Lonchura striata: one gene and its partners. The protein of the gene in region 3 purifies or fractionates together with the protein of the main gene of each other region. This does not show direct contact. Links are inferred from orthologs where the notes say so. Each region holds a gene or a part of one and is shown on either strand. Other genes may lie near its edges.

Region 1 (7,490 bases), on a different chromosome or scaffold from region 3:
TGTGATTGTACAGCGAGAGGGAAAAAGGGTTGATTTTCTTTGGCTCAGATGGGGGCTGCCTTTATGGCTTTGCAGAATTCACCGCCGTGGCTTTTCCTCCTTGTGTGACTCTGGCAGTGGAGGTGATCTCAGCCCCAAGTTTTCATGTAGGGCCTGGTTCTCTTGATGAGGAAATTTGACTTAATTAGTTTCAGCTGCTGGAAACCCACTGGTGTGCTGGCTCCTATTGTGCTGTGGGAAGGTGTAAGGTAGCCTTAAAGACCCACTGCCACCTTATGGCAGTTGCTGAGAAGCAGCGTCTGTGGAGCCAATTCTGTACACACATCATGCTCGCTCTATTTCTCTGCTCCTCTTAACCAGGGATATTTGCATGGAGGCAGGAGCTTTGTTTTCACCGAGTTCATCTGCTCCTTCTGTTCCTTGCAGAAATTTGATAAAGTCAGCAGGATGGCTGGGAGAGCCGTCAACAGGCGCTGTTCCACAGGAGCTCATGATCTGGGGAGAGACACAAAGGCTTCGTGGAGCACTGATTCTCCTCCAGTGAAGAGCTTGCTTATTTTCATGTCAGTGCCTCAATCCTTAAAAAAAATAGGTGTGAGGTCAAAGAACAGGGCCACACTGAACACGTGAGGCGTGTTGGCAGGATCTCCAGCGCTTGTTGCAGCAGGAGGAGGATGGAATGTGCACAGCCATTTTCCCAGCCTGCTGCTGGCAGGGCGCTGCAGGATGGCTTTGCACTGACAAATGGGGCCACTGTCCCCAAATAAACCAATAAAACATTGGTCTGTGGAACAGTGAGTGTGCTGGAAGCAAGAGCCTGCTTGCTGTGCTGGGGGTAGAGAATGCTAGATTTAGGACCCTTCTCCAGCAAGGCTCTGTTTGTACTGTAGGAGCTCTTGATATGCCATAGCTGAATGAAGGGGAGAAATGGTGGATTTAGAACTCCAAAATAGAAAGAGCTGTGGTTACTGTAAGTTAAAGCTGAAGGAATTTATAATTGGGAACTGTTAGGAATACAGTATGTTCTAAATTACAGCTGTCTGGCCAATATGCTGCTAAATAAAGATCTAGGATTGCCCTGTAAATGAAATATTCAACGCATATTCTTATCAAAACATAGCACCATCTCCCAGAGAGCTCACATCTCAATTGCTGTCCAAGAGGATCTCTATTATGTTCCTTTTTTTTTTTCCTTTTTAGCGTGTATGATTTACTCAGTGCAGTATCCCAGGGAACATTTCTGGTTTCCTATTAAGTAAAAACAGTTTTCAACTCTACTGGGGAAAAGAGGAGAGGAAGGGAAATGGCTTGGAAGCTTTAGGGATATAAAACCAGGTTTTAAAAGATGGGGAAAGCTATGATTCCAAAAGATGCATTAATGACTGCCTGTTGACTGCCTGTTCTTTCAAAGCTGTTACCTGAGCCTGGAGGTGGACATTGGAGGGTGCTGAGGATACCCAGTATGTCCTGAGCTATTCTGATTAAGAAATGTTGTATATTATGGTTGAAGAGCAGAAGGAATGTTTGAATAGCTTGTGGTGAAGCTGGAGAATGGTTTATAGCAGTGCAGAAACAATCAGGATTCCAGCAGAAATGCTCATCTCATACCCAAAGTCCCTTCAGCTTTTGGGATTGTTTCTGAGGAGGCTGAAAGGGAGCATCAGATTTGATCAAGGGGAGAGTCTGCAAGAAGAGAAGCCTGATGGAAGAAAGGAAATAAGGAAAACCCTCTGTATTTTGCAGAGCTAAATATTGTTCTTCCTATAAAAAGAAAAACCTCCCTTTGCCTCCCACTTAGGCTTCCCTGCAACGGAGCTGTGAAAATGCTGGACTTACTGGTGTCATTAAGCAAGAGCCCTGAGGAACCTGGTGTCCTTTGTGAAGGGAGGTGTTTGTGCTGCTCCCTTCCTCCTGAAAATGTGGGATTTCTGATAGGGGTGTTTGAGCCTTCAGTCAGAGGAGGGAGGCTGGAGAGCTGTGGGGTGAAAATACCCTGTAATCTGTGGGCCCTGGCAGGAATGTTTGGAAAGGGGGGTGTCACTGTGCTGGGAAGGCTGCTGGAGGGCACTTGGGCTAAATAAAGGGCACAGCATCTCGGGGCACAGGCCTGTTCTCATCCTCCATCATCAGCAAAACCTTTTCCTCAGCCAGCCTGGAAAGAGGACTGTGACTGCTGGTGTGCAGCACCTGACCCCTGCCAAGGGGGGACAGGGGGGTCCCGGGCAAGAGACACCTCTCCCAGTGCCAATGGCTGTGCCCTGCAAGCTTCTTGCTGCTTTTGGATGACAGAAATGTGAGGTTTCACTGAGTGACACCCAGGCATCCCCCGTGGCAGAGATGCTGCTACGGCACCGATCGATCGCTTTACTCAAGTTGGTTGTTGAGGCATCTGCAGTACCCTGGTGAGCTCTGCTTTCTCCTTTTTGTTTCTAAACAGTGTTTAGTGCTTTCAAGGATGGCCATGAGATGTGAAAAGTGTCTCTGGTAGCATCTGCTCTCAGTGTATATTTAACCTCAGCAGTGAACACATGTCTGGTGTGGAGATGCAGTGGGGAGGCTGTGGCTGTGCCGCCGTTCTCGGGCGTTATTTTATCTGAGAAAGGGAATGTTGACTGTGGTGGATCATTGACACTGCCTTTGTTAATATCTTAGTTTCTATTTCTGGGCTTTTAATGAAAGCGTGGTAATTTCATGCTGCAAGGAAGGGCAGCAATCAACTGCATCAACTGTTTTAAAGCCATCTTTGGTTTGAAGTACAGTAATCTTTTGATGCGGTGGATAAGGCAACTCCTGTCTACATAGCTGGGGTTTGTTGCTTTTGTTTGAGGATTTTTGAATTTGTCTTTAAATGAGTTACCTCTGCACCTCTCAGTGACTGAGAGAAAGGCCAGGAAAACCTCATTTTGTGTATATTAAAACTTAAGACTCACGTTGGATGAAAACCTGGTGGGTGAAAGTGATCCTTTCTTTATCCTGTCACCTCAAATACTCCTTGCCTATGAATTTCAATCATCTCAATTTAGCCTTGTGTGTTTTAACTGTTTAGTAGTGAAACTTCTCCAGAGTGTGGAGAGGAAACAACATCCTCATAGCCAAGGGAGATCTGTAACAGCTCTTTGCTGCTTTAATTATTGCAGCTCTGCAAACGTGCCTGGCCACAGTGGTGAAAGAGCTGCTGGGACTGGAGGAAACGTGGCTTGTGGATGTTTCCAGCCTGGCAGAGCCGGCCATGGCTGTTGTGCTGTGCTGAGGCCTGGACTCGCCTGGTGCTGGGGCAGGACAAACTTCATCCCCAGGCTCTCCCAAACCTCCCTAGGGATTTGGATGGCTTGTTCCTCCCTGCAGTGGAGTCTGCTCCCTGCCCTCCCAGCTCACTGTCACACATTGCACTCCACTCATCCTCACTGTAGTTTCTACTCTTAAAGAGAACTCTCTCTTTAGGAGGACGCTCTCCAGTGCTCTCCTCTTTTGGAAAGCTGTTTTTCCTTTGGCCAAGAGCACGCGGGTGGTGCCACGGGGCCATGTCAGAGTTTCCTCTTCTTTCTGGCCTCTTCCTCGAGGTTGCTGGCTGCCCTCCCCCTGCTCGGGGGGAGGTTCTCCAGCCTGACACCCGGCTCCAGCAGCCTCCTGCTCCTGCCTCCAATAAATGCCAGTCTTCCTTGAATCCCTTCCAGCCGAGCTCTGCTTACAGATGTTCCTGCGAGCTGCTCTGGCAGTTTTACTGGGAGCCTGAGCAGATATGAAGGTTGCCAAGAGTTTATGCTTAATTGTGAAGTGGAACAGAGACAAACTACTTTTATTTTGAAGCTAAAATTTCTTCTGTTATCTTGCTGGCTGGGGCCAGCAGTATTGTAGGGTTTGACATAGACTGAGCTTAGAGCTCCTGTGCCTTGTAGTGAACTATCCCTTCATTAGGGTGGGGATGAGGATGGATCCATGAGGATGTCCCTTCATTCTGTTCCCCCCCTGCTTTTCCATGACTGTGTTTGTGATACCCTTTCAAAGTCAGTTGTACCAGGTCAGGTTATTAATCCCCAAAGTGAAAATGATCTCCCCTTCAGATCAGCAGTTCAGATCTCGAAGAGACGCTGTCTTGGGCACTGCTCCCTGCATCAGTTTAACCCATGTGCCTTCATCCCAGCTCTCAGAGGTTGGGCACTTCGTTAAGCACTACAAAATCAGCCCAGGGACATCCCCAAGCCACTCACATCCCTCCCTGTCCTTCCTGCCTCTCCTTTTCCCACGGGCAAGTGCTACTCTTGAAGGCCACGAGACAGCACTCTGGTTTAAAAAGCTTTCTCTTTTTTTCAGGCGAGTGATCAGTTTTGAGGCCTGGCGCCCTGTCAGAAAGTTGACAGATGATCTGCATTACCGGTGCGTCCCGGGGATGCCCGGGATAATCGCGCTCCAATGGACGCCCTGGAGCCGGCAGGTTCTCTGTGAAATGGCTGCAGTGGAGGGAGCAGTGAAATGGGCTCTTCTGGGCATGCTCACTCTGTAGAGGGAGCTTTATCACATGAGCAGAAACTGAATCACTGCTCATGAGGATCTGGAATATGCAACTCTTGGAGTCTTCACCAGAAGAAGACAACAGCTGCCCGCAGGTACCGCAGGGTCCGTCCACCTCCCGTGCCTGGCGAGGCCCTGGCAGGGCAGGGCTGCGTCCTGCCCGGGAAGGAGAAGCCTTGGAGAGGAGAGGAGGAGCAGAGGCCGGGGAAGCATGGCCGGGGCTGTTTGTTCATTTGTTTGGATATTCCTGCGCGCGGCTGCCCGGTGCGGGGTGGGCATGGCCCATCCTGCTGGCATGGCCCATCTGCAGGCATGGCCCATCCTGCAGGCATGGCCCATCCTGCAGGCATGGCCCATCCTGCTGGGATGGCCCATCCTGCTGGCATGGCCCATCCTGCTGGGATGGCTCTTCCATGGGCTCCGAGGGGCCTCGGCGCCCGGCAGCGCCGCCGGCAAACCTCGGGCTTTGTTTCCTCGTGCCTTTCGTTTGTCTCCTGGGGTGGGGAAGCTCGCTTGGGGTTGGTTTGGTTTTGGGTTTTTGGTTCTTTTTTTTTTTTTTTTGGTGTTTTTAGGATTTGTTTGTGCTTTTAAAGTGTGAAGTTTCTGGAAAATTCTCCAAGGAGCTGCTTGTAGCTGTTAGAAGAAAAAGGCACAAAGCCTGGGGTGCCCGAGCTGCTTGAAGACTGAATGTCTAAAGGGGAGGAGAGGGCCTGTGGCCACATGGCACCTCCTCACTGGGTCTCTTTTGACAGCCTCTGCCTATGGCTTGCTGGGGTGGAGGCCAGAGCCAACAGCATTTTACCAGGAAGAAGCAATCCTTTTTATTTTGGGGTCACTTCCTCCCTTCTCTCTTCTTTTTTTTTAATTTTTTTTTCATAATAGCAATCCAAGGAAACATCTGATGCAAAGGAAACATCCGTGGTTGACTTCATGGCAGGAACATGCCTGCAACATATTTTAAAACTCAGCCCCCCGGTTCTGCCCTTGGGATTTTTTTTTTCCTCTGTGATTTGTGTTACATGCAAGAACTGTTGGCTGCCACAGACCTTGGTGAGATTTGGGATGGACACAGAAGGTCCCAGGCCCCTGGAAGGCACGGACAGCCCTGCAGAACACTGGCCTGAGCTTGCTGTGCTCCAGGGAGACCCTCGAATCTGCAATGTTGACACAATATTGAACTTTCAATCAAGGAGCAAGATGTGAAGATGGCATTTAAAATATCAGGGAGCTTACATGGGACAATCTGTGATACCTAATCTAAATATCTGTTGTTTCTCCACTGGATGATAAATGTGCTCATTGTTCATCATTCAGAAGAAAAGGAAAAGGCATCAGAAGTCAGGAGGAGAGAGCTGAGATTTCTCTTTAACAGTGAAGAGCTGAGGCCTTGACCTGCTGCCTGAGCAGCTTCACTCAGGGAGAAAATGAGCTTTGGGCTTGATGAAGGCTGAGGAGACAACCAAAAACCCTCTGAGGTGTGGGAGGTGTGCTCCTGTGTGGTGGTGACACCAGCGTGGCTTTGGCTGGAAGTGCCCAACGCTCTGTCCCTGCCGGCTGGGGCCCTTGGGAAGCGTCTGCAGAGACGCAGAAAAGCCTGACCTACTTTGGAGGGAAGAGAGCCGCCGAGGTCTGGGCTTGGCACTGCTTCTCAGCAAGGGTTAAGAGCCCAAAGTGGGGCCTTTGGGTCTTGGTTTTGTTCTGTTTCATGTATTTAACTGCCTGTGCGGTGCCAGCACGAGCTCTTGCCCTCGTCCCAGGACATGTTTGGGTAGGACTAGGCTCTGTGGCACATATGAGGCATATTCCTGCAGCTCAGCCTCTGTGAGACCAGCCCTGGGCAGGGGGCAGAGGCAGCTCCATGACCTGGCTCCTGGGAGCTCTCCCATGTGATGCCATCTCCTGAGGAAAGAGAGTTGTGTGCACCTCATGCAATGGCAGTGAGTTGTTTTATTCAGGTAAACAAGGAGTTTTAAGGAGCTTTGCTCTCCTGGCCAGCTGGTTTGGGGGAGGGCTGACTTGGTTCCTGCTGCTCCTCTTTGTTTTCCTTTTGCTGCTTTTCCCTGAAGTTTTTCCTTCTCGCCTTCCTGCTCCTGAAGCTGAGAGTGGTCGAGGAATGGCCGCAGCGGGAGAGTGACCGTGTGTTGGGGTCAGCCCAAAAGCTCAGGGCACTGATGGCGTGTGCTCCCTGCTTGCAAGCCTTGGAGGACCATATGTTCCTGCAGTGACATGGAATGTCAGTGATTTGGAAACAAATCCCTGAATTAATAATCCTCAACTCCCATTTTCAGCCAGTTATTTTTTCTGACTCCTCCAAACACCAGCTCCCTCTTTGCAGACCCTTATGGCCTCTCATGTTTCCAGTGGGATTTGTCCCTCTTGTGCCCCTGTGAGCTCCTTGGTCTCTTGGGTGGAGGATATGTGTCTGGCTTTGCTGTAGGGTGGTGTTGGTCCTGGAGGGGGGCAGAGGAGGAGGGCAGCCTGCCAGGATTTACAGTAGTCAGGAAAGCAGCAGGAGCGAAGCTCTCAAACTGTACAAGCTAATTGGAAAGCATCCATTAGAAAAAAGAAAAGGGAAATATAAAAGGGGAGAAAATGTTGAGCAAGCTTTTAAAAAACATCCTGGACTCCAACACAACAACTTGCATCCTCCAAAACAGGTGATTTAAATATGTTTTTCCTTCAGTCCCCATCAGGAGGGGGAAGGAGGTGAGAAGGGCCGAGGCAGTGGGGGTTAAGAAGGTCTGACGTGCAAGTGTCCTCCCTGCAACACTGCCATACTGTGCCTGAGCAGCACAGTGGCTCTTGCAAAGGAAGCTTTTCACAACTTGTCCTTGTTCCAAGGATGAGGAAACCTCCAGCTCTTCTGGCATTTTCTCTCTGTCATAAGTCAGAGCTGCTTTCACCTGTGAAGTATGATCAGCACAGACAGGGAGAGGGCTGGAATGGAGCGGGGCTCTGAGCAACCTTAAAAGGCTTTTCAT
Region 2 (7,963 bases), on a different chromosome or scaffold from region 3:
CTCCAGGTGAATGCAGCTCCTGCCTGGTGGCTTTCCAAGCAGTGTCCCCCCTAGTTCAGGAGCCAGCACAGCTGAATGAGAAATTATATTTGTAAGCAGCCAAGGGAGAGCAGTGGGAGAGAAAAGGAGCGCTGTCTTGGAAGGACTGGTTTACATTTCTAAAGAAAATGCCAGTGCCTCAGAGAGCTGCAGGGTTCTGGCTATGGATGGAGCTGAAAGGCTTTGAAAATGACCTCGGGGATTTGGGATGTTGGCATTTGACAGAGCCCAGCCTGGGGCCTGGTTCGGTGATGCAGAGCAGCAGCTCTGGAGAGCTCCCACAAGCTGGAAATCTGGGAGTAAAAGCTGTTCTTTTCCTATCCCACGAGAAAGACAAGCCTGGGAGGGATAAACTTCTGCTCTGCCATGTGCTTTTGAGGTGGTGCCCTCCAAGCAACCTGTGTAACCCCAGGGGGAGCCACAGAAAGGAGCAGCTGGGGAATCTGGCAGCACCTGGGCCAACCCTTCAGGCTTGCAGGGCTTTTGGGGAGCCCTCAGTGCAGGACAACCAGAGCAGCACGGGTGGGGGGAGCCCAACCATCAGCTGTGGGGAGAGCCAGGGCTTTTCCAAGGGAAATCCTTTCATTAAGGCACCTTGTAAAACTGGGGATAAGTTGGGAAGTTTCCTACAGAGCCCATGAGCTCCTTCCCAAGGATGCTCCCGTGGAGGGCAGGCCAGGCAGTCATCCTAACCCCCTGGCACCTCTGAGCACCCTCGATGGCAAGAGGGACAGGGTCGGGATTTCCTCTGTCCTGGCTCCCACCTCCCTCATGCGAAGCTGCCAACAGCACAGACAATTCTGGAACAGGAGACGTTTTGGCTCTTCCCACCTCTTGGAAGGATTTTTATCTCTCCCTTCGCAGCTTGACAGCTCCAAAAGTTCACTGCTAAAGGCACCCCATCCATTAGCATTCACCCCCAGGACCCAGACCCAAAAGAAGAGCATCCATCTATGTCACTGCTCCAACTCCTCCTGGATTCCAGAGGTGGGAAGTGCTGGGAAAGGAGGGATGGGGTCTGGACCAGCTGCCTTACCTTGGGGAGGAGAGTCGGGGGTGCCACTGCCAGCAGCTCTGGCGGGGTCATGCTCTTGCCAGCCAGGACCACGGCCCCGCACTCGGCACAGGCGCCGATGGTCAGCTGCTTGCCATCGTCCACCAGCAGGCTGTTGGCCACGCGCAGGGTGTAGAGGAAGACGGGGAGCCTGGCCACTTGAACCGCTTTTAATCCAAGGCATCGCTTCTTCTCCTGCCGGCAGAAGAAGCAGACGAAGGTCTCCACCTTGTACTGCCGGGACCAGGCGCTGCTGGGGTGGTGGGAGTTCCTGCCCTCGTGCTGCAGCCACTGTCCCAGCAGGTCGTGGTAGCACAGGATGCAGGTGGCCACCAGCCCGGTGGAGTCGGCCGGTCTGGCCCGCGGGGCGGGCGGGTAGACCGTCAAGAAGGGGAAAAAGGGCTCCTTCTCCCCAAATCGCCCTGGAGGGTTGACGTTGAGCTGGAATTCTTTGCCAGCTCCCAACTCGGCCCCGCAGATGTAGCAGACAGAGGTGGGGCCGGACTTGATGACAGCGGGGTGGCCGGAGAGGTCACCAGCGGAGAAGACCTGGTGGTACCTCCCCAGGAAACTCTGCACGGAGGAGATGAGCTCCTCGTTGTGACAGGCCCTGTACATGGCCCACAGGTCCTGCAGCACCCCGAAGCACTTGCGGCAGCTGCTGACCTCCCAGTGCTTGTTCAACCCCTTGGCGCCGGGCGGGCAGGGCAGCAGGCTGAGGAAGGGGAAATGCATGGTGCTCTTCGCGTTGCCGTTGGTGATTTTGGCCGCCACCGGCCTCGCCTCCTTGCCGCACTCCTCCCCGCACAGGTAGCAAGCCTCGGGCACCGGCGGGATGCCCGTGCCGTCCTCCTTCATCCCTCGGCGGCCCTTGGGGGGCATGGCCCCGGCGCTGAGGGGCACCACGTAGAGCCGCTGCAGCACGGGCACGTTGGCCAGCTCGAAGCTTTGCCACTGCTGCATGAGGGAGGCGAAGCAGCAGGGGCACACCAGGGTGCTGCCGGTGGGGGACAGCGGCTGGGCGCCCGGCGGGGGGCTGTGCAGCCACAGGAACGGGAAGAAAGGTCCCGGCGAGCTCTTCTCCTGCTTCTGCACGTGGACGCGGTGCTGGGCGCCGGGCGCCAAGGGGCTGCCGCAGATGTAGCAGGCGGTGCCCGCTGCCCAAGCGGGCCGCTCGCTGCCTTCCTCCTCCTCCTCCTCCTCCTCCTCCTCGCTGGTGATGTTGATCTCGCTGTCCGACGAGCAGCAGGGGGGTCCCCGCTCGCTCCCCGCCGCCGGGGGGGCCCGCGCCGCGCCGCCCGCCCCCTCGGGCTCCGAGAGGGGCTCGGCGTCGGAGAGCTCGGAGAGCTCGGAGCCGGCTGCCGGCCCTTCCTCCTCCTCCTCTTCCTCCTCCTCCTCCTCCTCCTCCTCCGGGTGGCCGGTGGCGCGGCGCGGCGGCGCGGCGGGGTCCCAGCCCGTGGCCCCCCGCCGCAGCCCGGCTCCCCCCGCCGCCGCCGCCGCCGCCGCCGCCGCCGCCTCGCACTGATGGGGCCGCTTGAGCCAGTACATGCGCTTCTCCACCGGCGTGCGGCTGCGCTCGAAGGAGTCCCACTGCTCGCCCAGGAAGCAGCGGCAGACAGCGCAGACCAGGGCGCAGCCCTCCGCCGAGACGGCGCGGGCTCCGGGCGCCGGCTCCTGGTGCTGCAGGAAGGGGAAGAAGGGCCGGTGGTCGCGGGGGGGTCGCACTTGAAGCTTCAGCTCTTTGCCGCGGCTGATGCCGCCGCCGCAGATGAAGCAGCAGAGCGGGGGCGCCGGGGGTTGCGCGGCCCCGGGGCCGCCCCCACCCGCCGCCGCCGCCGCCTCGCCGGCCGCCAGCGCGGCCATCAGCCGCTGCTTGCGGGAGAGCGGCGCCGCCGCTGCCCCCGGCCCCGCCGCCGCCCCCGGCCCCGCCGCGCTCATCGCCGCCCCCGGCTCATCCCGCGGCTCCGCCGGACACGCAGGCTCGGGGGGCGGGTTTGCGGAGCGCTCCCCCCCACCCCTCCGCCCGCCTCCTCCCGCCGGGGGAAGGCAGCGAGAAAGGAAAGAGGAAAAAAAAAAAAATTATGATAAAACAACGGCAACAACAACAACAACAAAAAAAAATTAAAACAGCTCCCCACGGCAACAAAATATCCACGAACGGCAACAAAAATAAACCCGGGATAAAAGTTCGGTGCGAAAGTTTGGGTCCCGCCGGCGGCGCGGAGGAAGGGCGGCTGCCGGCCGCCTCCCGGCCCCGGCGCCCCCGGCCCGGCTCCTCCCCGGCCCCCCCTCCGCGACCGGCCCGCCCGGGGGGGCCCGGAGGGAGGAACGAGCCGCTGCCACCCGCCCGCCCGCCGCCAGCCCGGCGCGGAGCGACCCCACGGGGGAGGGCCGTGGGGACTCACAAAGCCACCCCCGAGGGGGTTTATGGCCGGCCCCACGCGGGGATCCCCGCACCGGCCCGCCCGCGCCGTGCCCAGTGTCCCACCCGCCACCCCCTAACCACAGCACGGCGCTTTGTGCGGCTCCCACTCCCCACAGGCACCGTGTCCTGCTTCACGCCGCCGGGACTTATCCCACCCAAGCACCGAGCCTTTCCTGCCCTTTCCAGCCATTAACTCGGTGTCCCGAGCACCCCCGGTAATTTATTTTCCACTTTCAAACTACTGCCGCTGTTCCAGTTCGATACCAGATTCTATTTCCCGCTCGATCCTAAAATGCTGCGTCGCTTTGCCACTCGCTGGTAAATAGCTGATGCGTTCCCAGCCGGAGCTGGCGGCGTTTCAGCGGCGCATGCAATAATCCCGGTATATCCTTACCTGCCTCGCAGCCCGCGATAAGATTTAATGCTTGGAAAGCACTTTGCTGTCCTTGGACAATAGGCACCGCGGAAGCGCAAACTGTGCCCAGGGCCAGCCTCAATTAAACCTGACTGATTAACCACCCCAGCGGCTCGTCAGCGTGCCCACCGGCTCGGCACGGCTCTCCCCATTAAATAAATATATTAGGAACTGGAAGGGGGATTTTTTTCAAGCAGTCTGTTTAGGAGGAAGCCTGCTGCCGGCAGTGCTGTGGAGTTTGAGTTCATGGCAAGTCACTGCAATAACCCAGGTGCTGTCCTTGCAAGTCTCCCTGAGCTTGGAGGGTGCAGAGTGAAACCCAAAGAGGCAAGGTCAGTGGTTGGATAGGACACAGGGACAGAGGGACAGCAGGATGAATGCCTGAGCCACGTGCCAGCACACCCCGATGATGCACAGAAGCCACAGTGTCCCTTGCTCCTCATCACTCCTCGGGGCACCCCGTCTGGGTCCCCCTTGGGCTGACCAACCCTTCGTGTCACCTCCCACCCGGATTGCTGGTGACAGCGTCCAGTGCTCCCCAGCAACTGGCCCCGAGATCAAACAGATTGTGTGACATCAGCTGGAGCGCGGGCAGGGGCAGGAGGGCTCTTCAGGGACCCGGATCCAGTTTCCACGCAGATGGCTCCGGTAGTAAAGAAACAGGGGGTGGGAGGCAACACACAAAGCGGGAATACGATACCTTGGGAGAACTGGCTCCACGGGGCTTTTTCAGGGGTTTCCAGAAGACAGCAGGGCCTCGTTATATTTTATTTATTTATAGGGCTGATGTGGTGGCTGCTCTATGCACCGAGGGCAGCGGGAACGCCGCGTGTCGGGGTGGACATGACTCAGACGCTCTTTAAAGATGCACTCGGTCTCTCGGTGTCGCCCCTCTTCCCGGATGGAAAGGGGCCACTGGGCCGGATGGGATCCCTGACCCCAGGCAGCAGCACCGGATCTGGGAATGCCTCACCCCGGTTGCCCAGCTGGAGCTCCGCCGGGCGCTGCGGCCACCAGCTCAGCCCACCCTTCGAGCGCAGCCGACAGATGCTCTCCCGCCTGCTCCGCAGATGGGCGAGAAAACAACACGCCACATCCAAAGTCCAGAGCTCGGCAGGGCCAAACCTCCCCTCCCCACCCTGCCCTGAAACACCGACCCTCTGTGCCCCTCTCCGCGAGCCCCCGGCTCCCCCGTTCTCCCCGCGCCCCACGGGGACACGGCCTCGGAGCAGCTTCCCGGGCCTTGGCTGCGCCCGGACAGAGCAGCTCATTTATCATCCTGTGCCGCCCTGGCCCTGCGGTTGCTGTTTGCAACAGAGAAGCTGGGAGGGAGAGAAAATTTCTCAAGTCGGCCTCGGCAAGAACTGAAAACATATGCCCTGGCGGCAAACGCGTCCCCCGGGGCGCGCGGGGATCAAGGCGAGCCTAGCGCAGGATTTTCCACCGCGGCTCCCGCCGGCGCGCTGCCCTCCTGCCAGAGCTGGCGTCCCACAGCCACCCCTGGGCCCGGGGTGGTGACAGCCAGGTCTGCTCCTCCAGCCCAGCGCTGGGAGCACACTGGGAGGCAGGGCAGGGTGGCCAATATCCCGCTGGACCTTGCTGGCTGCGCTGCAGAGCTGGCCCCGTGCTCAGAGAGGAGCCCCGGGGACAGATGTCCCTTGCGAGGTAGGGGACAGGCTCTGTCTTGGGTCAGGACTCAGCACCAGTCGTGCCAGGTGCTGGGCAAACAGCTGTGGTCGTGGGGCAGGGGGCTTCCCTGGCTTGGATGGGGCAGGGATTCAGGATGGATGCATGAGCAGCCCACAGGGTGCTGGGTCCATCCCTATCCCCATCCTTGTCCCCATTCCCGTTCCCGTCCCCATCCTCATTTCCATCCCCATTCCTGCCTCAATTCCTCCATCCATCCCCACGGCCAGCCCTAAACTTACCTTTATTCTCATCGCCATCCCCAATTCCTCTTTCCATTCCTCTGCCTGTCCCTATTGCCATCCTTATCCTCATACCCCTTTCTTTTTCCACTTCTGTCCCATCTCATCCTCACCCTCGTTCCCATCCTCATCTGCATCCTCATCCCCATTTCTATCCCTATCTCCCTCCCCATCCCCATTCCCATCCCAACCCCCCTCTCTGTCCCTATTCCTACCCCAGTTCCTATCCCAGTCCCTTTTGCCCTTGGGGCCCTGCAGGGCAGCACCCATTCCCTGGCACCCCGAGGAGCAGGCACGTGCTGCAGATCCCACATCCCAGGGACCGGGAGGTTAATATGGAAATTACCAACTGCTTATTCCTTCCAGCTGTTGCTGTGAGTCATCAAGTGCCTTAAAGAGCATTTCAAACAACACAGTGCCTTTGAGACAGCGTGACTGCTGCCCCAGCCACCCCCTCTGGATAATCCTCGGCAGGGTCTGGTGTTTGAAAAGGGAATATTTCTCCAAGGAGGCAATTCCCAGCCCTGCGTGGCCGGGGAGGAAGAACAGCCGCTGCCTCCACGGCGCCTGTCCAGGCTCCCACCTCCACCCGTGGGCTCCTGGCGTCCTGCCCGAGAGCAAAGCCAGGCAGGGAAGGGCACTGGGAAGGGCAGCCCAGCCCTGGCATCATCTCTGCTCAAAATCCAGCAGGGACATCTCAATCCCACCACGCACCCGCATGGGTGACGATCCCTGCTGTGCCACCTGGGGAAACTGAGTCAGGGGGCGGCCAGTCTGAGCTCCACAGTGTCACCTGCCCGGGGTGAAGGTGGCAGAGTGGCTGCCACGGGACACTGGGACACTGGTCTGGAGTTCAGTGACCTTGAACTCTGCACTCAACAGCTGTATTTTCCTCGGCAAGCTTTTATTTCCTTTTTTTTTTTTTTTTTTTTTAAAAGGCTGATCTCTGCACTCAGTTGGTGCTGATTTTTCAGATGGGAGAGATAGGGCTGGTTCATGGAAATAGTGGGGATATATCCCTTATCTGCTGCTTCAACCTTTCTTTGAACTTCTGGACTGACTTCATTGATTTTTCCGCTGTTCCTTTCGCTGGAAAAGCCCAGGCAGGTTTTCTCCTGCTTGCAAACTGTTTTCCCCCAGTCCTTTGCAAGGCTGTGCAGGTGAGTCAAGGATGCTCCTGGCCAAGATCCCAGCTGGTGAGAGCAGGAACATCTGCCTCTGCACAGCAGAGAGCCTGGAATCAAAAAATAATGACCCAAGGAAAGCTGTGCACAGGTGACAGGGAGCTGTGACAGGGTGCAGGGGAAGGGGACAGGGCCATCCCACGCTGAGAGAGGAGGCAGGCAAGGAGGGAAGGATGCTGCTGGCATGGTCCCCAGCAGGCAGGAAGGAGAAAGGTGACTCTGAGGAGAGGAGGGGACTACCGACTGCCACCACAGCCCTGTGGGGACACTCTGAGCCTCTCTGCTCTCCCGGACAGGCTGTGGCAAACACACTGCTGCTCCCTGACAGCTGAAGGACAAAGCCATGCGGGGACACACTCGGTGCTGGCAGGGTGGTCACAGGGGCTGAGTCCAACCGGGATCCCCAGGAGCACCCTGAGAGCCCATGAATTTAAGAGGACGATCCAGCACCCTCAGTCCATGCCCCAAACCCCTCCATGGGCACTCGCAGCGTTGATCTCGTGCCGCTCCTCCTGCTCACCCCCTCTGGGACCAGCCCTGGTTCCCCCCATCTCCCCATGGGCAGGAGGGAGGGAGCCACGTCCCCTGCGAGGCACAAGGGCCCAGTTGCTGGCTGTGGGGTTTCTTCATAAGGGCTTTTTTATTTTTTTTAAGAGATTTTTTTTTTTTTCTTTTCCTTTCCAGGGCGAGCAGCTCTGCAAATGCCAAGTGCTGATGCCAAAGGGCCGTGTCAACAAAGAAGAATGAGTGTGGCTGTTAGAGGCTGCTATTAAAAAAGGGTGGAGAGGAGAAGGGAGAGGGGGGGTGAAAAAGAGAAGAAAAGGTTTGTCACTGCAAATAATAACAGTTTGCAGAGCAGTAAAAATCCGGGAGCAGTAAAAATCCGGGAGCAGCAGCCGGACCCCTGCAGTGCCCTTG
Region 3 (7,078 bases):
GCCCTGGAGTTAATCCCAGCTCAGACAATGACTCAGCCCAGGAACACCCGGCCTGTGCCTCACTTTCCTCCTGTTTACCCACGGGAAACGGGATCCAGGGAACTCTGGACTCTGCAAACACCACCCAGCTCTGCTTTTACAGCTCCACACTTGGTTTCACCCCTTTTGATCCCTTCAAATCCTCCAGAGGATTCCCAGGCCTTTCCAGCCACCCGCCAGGAATTGTTTTATGGGACATGGGGAACAAAGTCACCTCCCCACGTGGATTTTCTCCTCCAAACTGAGCTCACACCTCACTGATAAATGGGGTTTTTATTCCACCTCCTTTCCCAGGGGCACTCATTTCCCTGAATTTCACAGGAATTTCCCTTTCAGATTTCTGCCTGATTTGGCTGCAGGGAGCAGGAATCTCTCCCAAGCTTCATTTTCCTGGGAAACCAGCCCAAGCTGTTCCTGGGCTGGAACAACTCCTGCTCCTTTTGGGAAGCAGGGGATCCAAGCCGGTCTGGCCGGTGACTCAGAGGGGAGAATTCACATTTCATCACCACTCTCCACCTTCAGCAGAAGCAGTTTTTCTTCCTCCTGTGGACATGGATCTATTTCCAGGTAGGAAAATGAGATGCCAAAAGTGCAAATCCCACATCCAGGCAAGTCTGCTGCTGGAATTGACCTGTCTGTGGAGCTCTGGGGAGATGTTCTTTCAGTAAATAGAATTTTTTTTTCAGGTAAAATCACTTTTTTTCTCACTGAAAATAATTCTGTTTTCTCACATTTTGGCAACCCGTGCTGGTGTAACCATCCTGCCGTGTTTTAGGGACGGATTTTACTACCTCTAAATCAAGATTTGGGGAACTTGTAAGAGATGTTTGAGGCTGTACATAGGAAATAGAAGCACAGAACTCGGAGAAGCTTTTACAAAAATCCCCATCAGCTGTCCAGGGAATGCCCTGGGCCAACCCTGAGCTCCTGTTCCCTGTGCTGAGCACATCCCAAGCCCTGTGGATCCCTGGATGAGCTCAGCTGCTCCTGGACGTCAGAGCAGATTAAGGAGTGTGAACTGAGCAGGCTCTGCTGGGGTTAAACAAATCCCTCCATCAGGAGGCTCTGAATGGAGAAATTCCACCCAAATCTTTCCTCAGCCACTCAGGAGTGCAGGGAAGGACCCCAATTCCTTCATCCCATGAAATTCAGGGAATTCCCACAGCAGGTTAGGCTGGTTCCAGCCTCCCAGCGTGGAAAAGAAAAGGCTCCAATCAACAAATTATTTATTTCCTCTCAGTAAAAGCAGCTTTTTACCCCTCAGCTGTGGACGTTGAAAAGCTGCTCAGAAAAGAACAGTAAAAAGGAAAAAAAAAAATTTAAAAAATGGCACTAAAAGCTCACCACAAAGTATGGAACCCAAATTGGTGAAATTCTTGTGCAGCAAAGACCTGCAGGGCAGCAGCATTTCAAACAAAACAACTGCTTATTTCATATTTCAGATATAATTCAATGCCTTTAAAAATTATAACCCAGCAGGGCTGAGAACCTCCTATTTGAAGGGAAAAAAACGACATTTTTAGAGGGGGAAAAAAAAGCTCTGAGCATAGGATTTGGAAAAGCCTCCTTCCTTAGAGAGGGGGAAAAAGTAGCAAGAAGAAGTTTTTTATTTGATTTCAGGCCAAAAACCGTGTGGGAGCAGAGAATTGCACAAGGCCTGTGGCACAAGGTGAGCACAGAGGCAGCGAAAAAGGAGCAGGGGAAGGGAGAGGGGCAGCACTGGGATTGCTCAGCCCCACAGGACAGCCAGGGATTTGGGATTTGGGATTTGTTCCTTCCCTGCTGCACAGGGATGCTGAGGCAGCCCCAAAAGGAGCCACCATCCACACTCCAGAGGCACAGCTGGAGGATGCTCCTGGCAGGAGCTGCCTGCACACAGCCACCCTGGCTCCCAAAAGCTTTTTGGCCCCTGCTGACCCCAAAAAAACGCTGTCCCAGGAGTGCCTCATCCTCCTCAGAGCCCAAAATCCTCCTCCAGCACCTCAGCACCCAAAAAGACTCTCTCCTGGCCTCCAGCCCCTCTCACCAAGCCCAGACCCTTCCCAGCCTTTCCCATCTCCCAAATCCTCAGATCTCCACATTTCCCCATCCCATCCCAAACACCTGATCTTCCCCCAAATCCCCACATTTCCCTGGTTTTCTCTCAAATCCCCAAATCCCCACATTTCCCCATCCCAACCCCCATTTCCCTGATATGCCCTCAAATCCCCATCCCCCTGATCTTCCTCCAGATCTCCACATTTCCCCCATATTCCCTCAAATCCCCAGATCCCCAAATTTCCCCATCCCGCTGTTCCTTCCCCCAAATCCCCACATTTCCCTGATACTCCCTCAAATCCCCAGATCCCCAAATTTCCCCATCCCCCTGATCTTCCCCCAAATCCCCACATTTCCCTATCCCAAACCCCTGATCTTCCCCCAAAACCCCAAATTTCCCCATCCCATCCCTCTGATCTTCCCCCAAATCTTCAAATCTCCCCATCCCAACCCCCTGATCTTCCCCCAATCTCCCAAATTTCCCCATCCCACCCCCCGATCTCCCTCCACTCTTCCCATTCTCCTCTCCAGCTCTCCCCATACCCCTGCCATGCCCCCCACACGCTCCCTACGCCTCTCAACCCCATTAAAAACCCCACACAACCCCTGATCCCCATTCCCCGACCGTCCCCGCCCATCAATACCCCCAACACCCATCCCAAAACCTCTCAACCCCCTCACCTCCATGACCCCAACGATCCCCCATTACCAACCTCTCATCCCACCCCCAGCACCCCCATCCTCCCTCAGTGACCCCATTACCCTCACCCCCCTCTCCATTACCGCCTCATGACCCCTCACCCCTCACCCCCGCCTCCTCCGTCCGCGATGCCCCCTCATCCCCCCCTCCCCCCCGCCCCAGGACGGCTCCCCCGCGGCCCGGCAGCCCCGAGGGGGTGCCCGCAGCTCCTCACCATCGTAGTAGTAGCAGACTTTGCGCTTCGTGCCCTGCGTCAGCGCCATTTTCCTGCCTCCCCTCACAGCGCCCGACCCGCCGCCGCGCCGCGCACCCAACCCCGCCCGCCCCGGGCCCGCGGGCCCGCCCCCCGCGCCGCGCCGGCCAATCGCAGCTCTCCGTTCCTCCCCCTCCCGCCCGCTGGCCAATGGCAAGGCGCAGCGGCACCTAGCAAGTTAGGCTGAGCGCCGGGGGTGCTTGGGCTGTACCACTGCGGCGGGGGATGGGGGGGTGGTGGTGGCTGTACCATCGAGGGTCCAGGTGGGCAGGGAGGAACCATTCCCTTGGTGGGGTGGGGGGGGCAGGTGGGGCTGAACCATCCCAGGGGAGGGGGGAGCCAGGGCAGGTTGGGCGAGTGAAGGGCCAGGGGTGGCTACCAGGGCTGAGGGGGGGTCCCGGGGGTCGCAGGGGCTCCCTGGGGTGGGTTGGTGCCGGTGGGGTCCGTGTGCTGTGGGCATCGCCCCGCGTGCCGCACCCCGTGGCAGCCTGGCCCCCGCTGCTGAAAATGCCTTTATTTCCCCAAAGTCGCTGTAAAATTCTCCTGCGCACGCCGTGAGGGCAGAGGGAGCTCCAGCAGCCGCGGGGTGCGGTGGCCAGCGCTGCTGGGGGGGGTTCCTGCCATCCCAAGGGAGTGAAGGGGGCACAGAGCGGGGCAGGAGAGCCCTGAGGGGCTGGAGCCTGGATTTTCCACTGGGAAGCGCAGGGATGGCAGGGTGGGCACCCTGAGAGCATCTGTGCCATGCCCCAGATTTTGGGGGACTGCTTTGGCTGTGCAGCCCCTCCTGGAGGAGTCAAATCTGCAGTCCCCAATCTTTGGAATGCTTCAAATCCTCACAGAGCTCTCCCCTCATCCTGGACCCCTCAGACATCCATGGAGGCTGTGGGGCACCCCACAGCAGAGCCCTCAAGGACTGGCCCTCCATGGCAGTGAAGAAATCCTCAAGCATGCTCTTCATGAAGTCGAAGGTGGGTGAAGGGGGCACAGAATGGGGAAGGTGAGCCCTGAGGGGCTGGAGCCTGGATTTTCCCTCTGGGAAGCGCAGGTATGGCAGGGTGGGCACCCTGAGGGCACCTGTGCCATGCCCCAAGCTTTGGGGGTCTGCAGCCCCTCCTTAAGGACTCAAATCTGCAGCCCCCAAGGTTTGGAATGCTTCAAATCCTCACAGAGCTCCCCCCTCATCCTGGACCCCTCAGAGGTCCATGGGGTCTGTGGGGCACCCCACAGGTGCACCCTCAGGGCTGCTGCTGGTTCTGGCCCTCCATGGTGGTGAAGAAGTCCTCGAGCACGCTCTTCATGAAGCCAAAAGGGGGTGAAAGGGACACAAGAGTGGGGCAGGAGAGCCCTGGGGGGCTGGAGCCTGGATTTTCCCTCTGGGAAGAGCAGGGATGGCAGGGTGGGCACCCTGAGGACATCTGCGCCATGCCCCAAGCTTTGGGGGTCTGCAGCTCCTCCTGGAGGACTCAAATCTGCTCTCCCAAGCTTTGGAGCACTTCAAATCCTCACAGAGCTCCCCACCCCAGCCTGGGTGAGGTCCGTGGGGTCTGTGGGGCACCCCCAGCACCCCACAGCAGCACCCTCAGGGCTGCTGCTGGTACTGGCCCTCGGTGGCGGTGAAGAAGTCCTCGAGCACGCTCTTCATGAAGTCGAAGGTGGGGCGCTCCTCGGGGCTCTCCTTCCAGCACTGCCTCATCAGCTCGTACAGCTCCGCCGGGCAGTTGTCCGGCTGCGGCATGCGGTAGCCACGCTCCAGGTTCTGGATCACCTCGGGGTTGGTCATCCCTGCCAGGACCCGATTCGGGTCATCCCCATGGTGTGGGTGGCACCCTGGGGTTGGGCATCCCAGCCAGGACCCAGTTTGGGTCACTGGAACCACCCCAGGGTTGGTCACCCCTGCCAGGACCCAGTTTGGGTCACTGGAACCACCCCAGGGTTGGTCACCCCTGCAAGGAGGATGGCCAGGACCCAGTTTGGGTGGCAGGGACCACCCCAGGGTTGGTCATTCCTGCCAGGACAATGCCCAGGACCCAATTTGGGTGGCAAGGACCACCCCAAGCTCAGTCACCCTTGACAGGACAATGCCCAGGACTCAGTTTGGGTCACCCCAGGTTTTAGGGACCACCCCAGGATTGGTCATTTCTGCCAGAAGAATGCCCAAGACCCATTTTGGGTGGCAGGTACCTCTCCCCACCCTCCCAAACCCCGCATGGGGGGCACCTCCCATCCCCTCCCATCCCCTCCATCCCCTCCCCAGGTGGCTTTGGCCACCGTGCCCGGTGCAGCCGGGCCGGGCAGGGTGCCAGGCTGGCAGCAGCGTGCGTGCAGCGCTGCATGCACACGCACACACACACACACACACACACAACACACCGCGGGCGTGCCGGCCCCGCAGCTGCCCCAAAATCCTCACCTGGATACGGGATCCGGCCGTAGGTGACGATCTCGGTGAGCAGGATGCCGAAGGACCACACGTCCGACTTGATGGTGAACGTCCCGTAGTTGATGGCCTCGGGTGCCGTCCACTTAATGGGGAATTTGGCCCCTGGAAAGCGGTGGGAAGGGGAGGATAAAGCGCTGGAACCTGATTGAATTCCGTGTGACAGCTCTGTCGCTGCCTGGGCACCGGCTGGCTCTGGTGGCTGAGCCCCCCGAGCCTGCGGGAGCCCCCCCAAAGCACTCCAGCCGCGGGGGGAGAGAGATGGAAAAGGCAAAATCCATCCTTGCACCCCTCTCCTGCAGCTCCCCGGGGATCCAGGCTGGCCGCGGGTCCCCCTCCCGGTGTCCCCAAGCCCGGTGACCCCCGGGGCTGGGCGGGGCTCACCCTCCCGAGCTGTGTACTCGTTGTCCTCGATGAGCCTGGCCAGCCCAAAATCGGCGATTTTGCAGCACAAAGTGTCCGAGACGAGGATGTTGGCGGCCCTCAGGTCCCTGTGGATGTAATTCTTGGCCTCGATGAAAGCCATGCCTTCGGCAATCTGGGATTTGTAATTATGGATGAATTGCAGTTGTTAATTAACAGCTCCGGAGGTCTCCCAGCTCTCTCCCCGTTTCTCTGCTCCCCCCTCACCTGCGCTGCCATGTCCAGGAGTTTGTTGATGCTGAGCTTGACTCCTTCCGAGGTCTTGAGGAAGTCCACGAGGCTGCCTGTGATGAAAGCAGCAGTTCTCAGCTCCTGGGGGGCCTGGGGGGTCACAAGGGCCCTGTCCCCCCAAAAAAAACTCTGGCAATGTGGCCGGGAGAACACAGAAAATCCTTCATGCCCCAGCTGGATATGGGAGAGAACAAAGGCAAAGCTTCCCCGGGGCTGGAGGCGCAGGAACCTCTAAAATGAACAAATTTCCACATTGCCAGTCTTTCATTCTGACTGGTTTTGGAGCCTGCACTGGGAGGTGCTGCAGTCACCACCCTGGAGGAGTTTAAGGAATGACCAGCCCAGCCAGGACAATGGCCAGGACCCAGTTTGGGTGGCAGGGACCCCCCTAAGATTGGTCACCCCTGCCAGGACAATGCCCAGGACTCAAGCTAGATCACCCCCAGGTTTTAGGGACCAGTCTAAGGTTGGTCACCCTTTGCCAGGATGATGCCCAGGACCCATTTTGGGCCACAGGAACCACCCCAGGCTTGGTCACCCCTGCCAGGACAATGCCCAGGACACAATTTGGGTGGCAGGGACCATGCCAGGGTTGGTCATTCCTGCCAGAGCAATGCCCAGGACCCATTTTGGGCCACAGGAACCACCCCAGGCTTGGTCACCCCTGCCAGGACAATGCCCAGGACACAATTTGGGTGGCAGGGACCATGCCAGGGTTGGTCATTCCTGCCAGAGCAATGCCCAGGACCCATTTTGGGCCACAGGAACCACTCCAGGCTTGGTCACCCCTGCCAGGACAATGCCCAGGATACAATTTGGGCCACAAGAACCACGCCAGGCCCAGCCACCCTTGTCAGGACAATGCCCAGGCCCCAGCGCTCTGTCTGTTGAAGTGGGGATTTTTCACAGCATGAACTTTATCCCAAAGATCTCTTCCAGCCTTAAAGTTCCAGAGCTC

Evidence for each region.
Region 1: the proteins of HDAC1 (region 3) and EHMT1 purify together in Homo sapiens (affinity purification with mass spectrometry; 4 studies listed by BioGRID and IntAct, counting the BioPlex papers as one, with this or other methods). This does not show direct contact. The link is inferred for Lonchura striata from reciprocal best matches to the Homo sapiens genes HDAC1 and EHMT1.
Region 2: the proteins of HDAC1 (region 3) and GSE1 purify together in Homo sapiens (co-immunoprecipitation; 7 studies listed by BioGRID and IntAct, counting the BioPlex papers as one, with this or other methods). This does not show direct contact. The link is inferred for Lonchura striata from reciprocal best matches to the Homo sapiens genes HDAC1 and GSE1.

Annotation. Positions count from the first base shown.
Region 1 is NC_134624.1:4,059,706-4,067,195, reverse strand, and holds the start of EHMT1 (histone-lysine N-methyltransferase EHMT1), read left to right. Parts: upstream 1-4,459; 5' UTR 4,460-4,541; coding exon 4,542-4,604; intron 4,605-7,170; exon of another isoform or gene 7,171-7,490. UniProt on the Homo sapiens protein: Histone methyltransferase that specifically mono- and dimethylates 'Lys-9' of histone H3 (H3K9me1 and H3K9me2, respectively) in euchromatin.
Region 2 is NC_134615.1:21,631,677-21,639,639, forward strand, and holds the start of GSE1 (genetic suppressor element 1), read right to left. Parts: upstream 3,032-7,963; coding exon 1,076-3,031; intron 1-1,075.
Region 3 is NC_134628.1:1,055,757-1,062,834, reverse strand, and holds the start of HDAC1 (histone deacetylase 1), read right to left. Parts: upstream 3,098-7,078; 5' UTR 3,040-3,097; coding exon 2,991-3,039; intron 1-2,990. UniProt on the Homo sapiens protein: Histone deacetylase that catalyzes the deacetylation of lysine residues on the N-terminal part of the core histones (H2A, H2B, H3 and H4).